Caenorhabditis elegans: one gene and its partner. The protein of the gene in region 2 purifies or fractionates together with the protein of the main gene of each other region. This does not show direct contact. Each region holds a gene or a part of one and is shown on either strand. Other genes may lie near its edges. The genes, in order: F53B2.8 and ZK1098.11.

Region 1 (3,742 bases), on a different chromosome or scaffold from region 2:
AGGAATATTCGGAAACTCCTGTGACGCCATGATTCGGCGATGAACGGCAAGGCATTGTCCCATGATGGTGGGGAGGAAGTAAGAATGAATGGGGGAAATTGTCGAGATGGTCTGGGGCTGCTAATTGTTTTTTGTCTTTTTATATTTTTTGACCAATTTTTCTCAGAATTCATACATATTTTCGATAACAAGGAATACTGTAAATTAGGAAAAGGGGAAGCAATAAAAATTCGTAAAATTATAACAAAAGTGGAGTGAGACACAGAAATTTGGAAAGGGAAGTGGATTTAAATTGCTGTGGGAACAGTCTGAATTCTCCTTAAAATTTAATTTACCGGATTATGAAGAAATTTCCCAAATTCCAGTAGGCAAGCACGTTTCCTCCTACTGTATTCTTGCCTGCCTACAAGCTTGCCTACTGCCTAGGCATCTGAATTTTTGCAAACAATTAAAGGATCGGAAATAATTTTGCAAGTCTATAGGCACGTTTTGTAGGCAGGAATCAGGTGTAGGTCTCCTTACAAGGCAGATGTGAATTTTTACGAAGCAGATCGGGTCTCACTACAAAACGTGTCGGTTACTGTAGCTAGCAAGTTTTCTGAATCTTAAATTTGATCTGATAGTGAGCAGATAAAAAACGTTAGTGGGAAATGTGGTCTCACTTTGAAGATCAAGTTTCAAATTGAAATTTCGAATAAGATTGAAAAAATCTACCATAACCATTAGTTTTCATGGCGAGACCTCTCATGAATCATGATTACATTTCGAAGATTTTGGTATGCTGATTTGAAATTTGTAAATTTTGAATCAAACATTTTTTATTAACAAATAAAAACTTCAAAGTGAAAAATTCAAAACGTCCACAAATTAAATTTGACATCCAGATTCATATTCTTCTTATTAATTTTCCACTTAACAATTTTTTTTTCTTCCAAATGATCCAAAGCCCACACTAACGGCGTGAAGCAGCAGCTCTCATATCACGCAATGCTTTCGGAGCCTTATGAAGATTGGCGACTAGAGCCAAATATGGAAGACGGGGTGGTCTTGGGGCTGGTACCCGGATCTTTCTGGCTCTGGGGACTTTTGGCCCTTGTGCTTCAGAGCCTTGATGTGGTTTTTCCTTGATGCTTCTCAAAGCTTCCAACTTTTTTTGAATCTTCAGTGCTTTTCTCTCCAGTTTCTTATCTTTTTTGGCTCGTTTCTGCTCCTCTCGACTTCGTTTTAAGGTCAGTTGAAGTTCGAGTTTCTCCAATTTTTCCAGCTTTCTTTCCGGAGTGTTTTCCTTGGAGCGTACCCTTTTCTGGTGTTTCCCAACATTTCCCAGCTTGGATCTCAGTCGTTTCTTTCCACCCATGTTATTCTTCGGGGCTCTTTTCTTCCCAACTTTCACGTCATCTTTTTCTGAAATTTGCGAATCTCATTCGAGTATGTAATATAATCTGCCAAACGTAAACTAGACTTATCACATAGATTTATTACGATAATTTGCTCGTCAAATCTGTTGTTTATAAAGTTTTCGCGTCAAATTTGCGTATTTGCTATACCGTTCAGTGAACTAAAATTTTCCGAACACTACAATCGACGCTCAACACTAAAAGTCAAATGTAATTCCTTACTAACCTTGCGTACTCATAGCATCTCCCAAATCCTCCTCCGGCTCCACCTGTGGCTCCTCCACCTTATTTCTCTTAAGCTTTCCCACTGTAAATTTGAGCATTTTCAAATTTTTCTCGACTTTAAAAACTTACACAACTTCTTGCCCATTGGCATTTTCAGTTCAAAGCAATTGATTTTAGCAGTACAAGTAACCACTGAAATTGCAGGCACTGAGGAGGGTTTTTGTATCAATTTCTTATCAAAGAGTTTTTATCATCAATAATGTTTATAAGTGTGGAATTCTGAAATAGTGATGTTGACTATGAGTAAGGTAGTATTAAAATTGAAAATGTCATGTGAAATGGGAATGTTGACAGGAAAGATTATTGGAAAGTATGGGGAAATCGTGAGACCCAGAGGGAAAAGATGGGTGACGGGATTGCGAAATCAAAGTGTTGAAATTTTTAACTACAAAATTCACTAGAAATATGCTTAACAAATATTACACCCAAAGCATTTCAGCATTTCGAAAATTTTAACTTAGGCAATGTTTTAAATTTTTTAATATTCGAAATTTTCATTAACATTTGATTTTTTCAGACTACTGCCAGGTACAGCAACCCTCGGTTTTTACTGTGTGACCAATTTTTATCGATGACATAAAGTTATGGTATATTTATATTCAAATTTAAGTTTTTAAGTTTTCTGATTTTTAATCTTATGAATTACTATACAATTCAAGATTTAAAACATCTAACAGCTCATCGTCGTCGTTCAACATCTCCCCAACTCAAATTCAAATCTAGAAAAAGTGCTTTTGTTCCTTACAAAAACCGCCAAAAGGAATGAGTAACAGATTGTCATATCACTATCCCATCACATTGCCGCCGGAAATTGGCAAATAGAAAAGGACGACGGGTATTTGAATTCAAACTGGAAAACATTTTTGTAGTTGGAAGAGTCGAATAGTTTTGGCAAAGTTAATGCAAATCTACCTAAAAACCTAAAAGAGATGTTATAATAATTGTGTATTTGTAAAAATCATGGAAGCCGACACTTTACTGATCATATTTAACTTTAAAAAAATCCTTTTTCTCACATTTTGTTGCCTGAAAACTTGAAATATTTTAGGAGTGAAGAAATTTGGAAAAAATCAATTACCGGTAATTACCCCCTATGTTCCAAAAACATTTAAAATCCTCTTTCCCCCATTCCTAATCCATCTATTCATCATCATCTCATCAATTGTTTATGCACCTGTTCAGGAAGTGCACATAACATCTAATTGTCCAAAAAGAGTACACAAACCGGTAGAAAAATCGCAGTTGAAGAGCCAGTAATCTGTCAGTAATCTGATTGGAATTCGAGTGAACAAATAAAAACAGGTGTATTGGAAATGTTCAAGTAATTTTAAATATCACAGAAACGTAATTAGACAACATTTTCTGCTGATTGATGGGTTGATATTTTAAACCTACACAATCAAAATTCGTATTTTTATTTTCAAACGAGTAAATTCAAATGCTCATGCTGTGAAAGTCGTCTGAGAGCTTGCTGTAGCAAATCACAGAACATCCTTTGGCAATATCTTCATCTTTCCGTTCAGGTGGCGCCAAGTCATTCATCAAAGATTTCAGTTCGGCTTTTTGAATCGAAAACTGAAACACACGGATTGTTAAGTCTAAGGATATTCAACTAACGTTTGCTCCAGCTCTCTCAATACATCCCAAAATATCCAAACGTTGGAACAATGTGTACTGCCATGGATGCTCACGGAGCAGTTCAGTTGCAGTTGTCGCCGCCTTTTCATTCAAACGAACATCATCAAAATCGAGAAGAGCTGGAAAATGCTGTACTATTCCTAAGGAGACGAGAAGATACGTTTGATGCTCATCTGCAGTTGCCAATAGATTTCCAATAATCCACAGACATTCCTGAAATAACCATAGATAATTTCTAAGCTCGAAAATAAATTTTGTTTCAAAAGATGTGTTCAAAGCTAACTACAGTATTGTCTCTATTGTACTTGCACCCTCATTAATTCACTTTGACGGCTCATATCTTGACTGTCTCAAGTGTTATCAAACAATTTCACTATCAAAACGTAGAAAAACATTTTGCACGTATTTCTTCAGTTGACAAT
Region 2 (3,426 bases):
ACACCGGATTTTCGTTCATCGTGTTCCTCATTGAGCACAAGCCTCTCATCATGCTCCATGTCGGTTACATGACTCTTCTGACCATCATTCCGATTGCTTATATGGTCATGCAGGGTGTTGAGTTTGGTAAGAAGCTTATTAATACGAATTTCTTCAAAATGCTCCAATTTCAGGAATCCTCATCTTCGATGACTATCACATTCTCGTTTTCCGCGATTTTCATAAGTTTGGATGTTCCATCATGTTCTCCCTATGTAAGAGTTTGTTATTCAGTAATTCATGAGAATATTAATTTTCAGACTACATTGGATACATTGTCGTGTGCTTCCTGTTCATCGAAGCTCTCGAAAAGAAACCAGTTCTCCCACAGGTTTATTCGATCAAGCCAAAGCTTGTTGCCGCGGTTAATCCATCGAATAATTGCAATGTTTACCCAATGCTCTGAGCCCCTAGTGCCACAATTTGTTACCTTGTTTTTTTGTTCTCTCGTTGTTCATCCCGAAGAGCTCTAGCTCAACTGCTTGTTTTGTTGTTTTATTAAAAAACTTGTTCTCAAAATAACTTTATTAATTACAACCCTTACAATACAGGCACAAATCTTCACAATCGAAACATTTAAAATTCGAATATTCACAGCTTGTGGCGAATATCGAGTTGCTTCTCCTCTTCAGTTGCACTACTTCCATCAAGATATTTTGCTACGTACCAGCAGGTTGGCTGGACGAGATACTTGTTGTCGGCGGCGTATTTGAGTCCTTCCTTGACGAGAATTTTGGCGACTCCCTTTCCTTGTTGGTCTTCTGGGGTTACGGTATGTTGAAAATCGAGCACGCGATTTGGAAGCTCTGCGTATTCCAGATAGGCTTTCGAGCCGGTATCTAAAAGAAATTAACAAATTTGAAAAGGGATCACAATTTTCAGCATAAAAACTTTTTACAGATGGGTTTTTCGAACAGTTATAACCCAGGCGTGAAATTTTGCGATTTTTGCACCAGAAATACGGTGCCTGGTCTTGTGACGACAAATTTTTGTTAAATGCAAAAAGGTGTGCGCCTTTAAAGAGTACTGTAGTTCTTAATTATGGTTGCAGTGTAATTTTTCATAGTTTTTCTATAAAAAAATACATCATAAAAAATCGAATATAACTATAACAACACAATTTAAACAAATCTAGAGAAAAATTGGAAATTTAAGAAAATTCCGCGTAAACGAGGGTTTGAAATTACAGTACCTTTTAAAGGCGCACACCTTTTTGAATTTAACAAAAAAATTGTCCTTGCGAGACCTGGTACCGTATTTTTTGGACAATTTGTCGCGCCTGGGAAAATTCATAATTCTCAAAAAACTTACTGAATTTAATGAAAAACTCCATAGCTTTTTTGCAGTGTTCGACACGGAACGCCATTCTAAATTGATTTTTTCTGTTTAAAATCTACTTTTTTCAAGAGTAGAAATATTTGCAGTCTGATTGAATACGGTACTCTCAGGCAATATTAGTTCTTGAGGCGACTTTCATTCAAATTTTTGTAAAAGTAATGAAAAATAAAGAAAAAAAATTCGACAAGACAAAAGCACGAATATTCACAGAAAAAGTTTGGAAAAAGAGACTAGAATGCGTTAGAAGTGGGAGGGTGAGGGATGACAAGAGAGGAGACGGAGGGAGCAACCGAATATTAGACATTTCGTAGGAAAATGTACAATTTACATGAATTTTGGATGCATTAAAACTTTTAATTGAATTGAATTCTAGACAGGGAAAGTGGTGAGAAAAAGCCTTTTGGAAAAAGAAATCGAATCAAAATGCAAAATGAAGAAGAACGAATGGTTATGCAAAGCATTGAGGTTGAAGAAAAAAGAAGAAAAGAGATCGCATTGAAAAGCGAAATGAATTATTTTGAGAGGATCGGAAGTTCTGCATCGACTTCCCAGATAATCAAATGTGACATATCACGTGGCCGAATTGATTGCCCTGTCAGCTCCGGTTCGTTTTCTTCACCTGAAATTGTATACATTTCTAACAGTCCGTATAACTATTTTATTACCTATCCTAAAGTCAATATATCCATCTCCACCAGACATGATCAACATTCGACGTAGAGTCACTTCTGCCGACTCATCTTCTCCGTTCTTCGATGCTCCAGGTACTCCAAGGAAGAACTTGACACTGTCTTTATGACCATGGAATGATAATTGAGCATGTGCCAGGTTGCAGTACGGAATGAAATCATCATTTGTTTTTTCGTCGTTAGTGGCGTTTTCTGAAGTTGCTCCATAAACTCTGACGAGTCCACCTGGTCCCGCAGGACGTTTTGAATCTTTTGTTTCGATCTTCTTTTCGAGTTCTGGAAAAGTAAACTGGTTGGCATAAGATTAGGGAAATTTAATCACTCACGTCCAGAAAATGGCACAGAAATGATAACACCAGTTCCAGTTCCAATCCAAAGTCTTCGATTTGAGACAAGAAGCGCCGTTGTTCGCATGTATGAGAAATCAAGTTTAGATGTCCCAAGCATTTTTGTCACATATGGTTCTATATCAACATCTTGAAGGTGTTCATATGTATGTGCATGATAGAGTCGGAGAGTTGAATCGAGACGAATCGACAACCATACTCCGGCTCCAACCCATTGCATGTTACGGACTTGACTGTCTTTTCGTGGATGAGCAGCGAATACTTTCTGGAAATTTAAATTTTAGGAACGGAATTGAGGGATATACTTCTCGAAGAAACGCACCACGATTTGGAGACTTTCAGCGTCAAGAACAACTACACAATTCTTGTAGGTCGCCCAAATGTTTGTAGAGACAAGGCACAAGGATCGGACTGATGACGTGGCACTTCCAACACGTAGAGAATGATATCCTTCGTCGGACCATTCACCGTCTGAATTTTAATTAAATATTATCATCGATTCATTCATTTTATTATGAACAGGGTTGTGGATTTTTTTGGTTTTGTTTTTTTGGAAATTAGACGAAAAATTGGGTTTTAGTTTTATTTTGACACATACATTGAGAGATTTTTGTATTTTGCAAATGTTCTTTAGAAAAATATGCGTTTTATAATTTTTTTTTTTCAAAAACTATCTATCCTTATATTTTGAATAGTACTTACGTCTTGAGCTTAAAATTTTTTCTCAATTTTTTGCACAAAATGTATAGAACCTACGTTTATTTCTATGGAATATGGCAATTGTTCCATTGGCAAGAGCAGCAAAGATACGGCTTTTATAGTGTCTGTAACAATTTTTATTTTGAAATGGGTATCACAATTTGAATAGACGTACACAATACTGAGAACTGCATCAGGCATTTTGATACGGCGGAGGCATTGCTTCCAGGCAGTCACAGCGGAGTGGATGTAGATGCTGAAAAATTCGACTTTTATCAAAGGTAACATAGTTTTAATACATACTATTGATTCTG

Evidence for each region.
Region 1: the proteins of ZK1098.11 (region 2) and F53B2.8 fractionate together in Caenorhabditis elegans (co-fractionation; one large-scale study listed by BioGRID). This does not show direct contact.

The regions. Positions count from the first base shown.
Region 1 is NC_003282.8:12,525,447-12,529,188, forward strand, and holds F53B2.8 (Coiled-coil domain-containing protein 86), read right to left. Parts: upstream 1,951-3,742; 5' UTR 1,774-1,950; coding exon 1,752-1,773; intron 1,705-1,751; coding exon 1,624-1,704; intron 1,405-1,623; coding exon 953-1,404; 3' UTR 785-952; downstream 1-784. Other genes in the region: Protein eak-4, read right to left, coding at 1-63; F53B2.5 (Importin subunit alpha), read right to left, coding at 3,117-3,257, 3,300-3,533.
Region 2 is NC_003281.10:9,554,580-9,558,005, reverse strand, and holds ZK1098.11 (Protein NATD1), read right to left. Parts: upstream 1,407-3,426; 5' UTR 1,406-1,406; coding exon 1,351-1,405; exon of another isoform or gene 879-1,350; coding exon 631-878; 3' UTR 552-630; downstream 1-551. Other genes in the region: C48B4.6 (uncharacterized protein), read left to right, coding at 1-126, 174-254, 300-445; unc-16 (JNK-interacting protein), read right to left, coding at 1,890-1,996, 2,043-2,342, 2,393-2,678, 2,736-2,884, 3,170-3,237, 3,288-3,368, 3,416-3,426.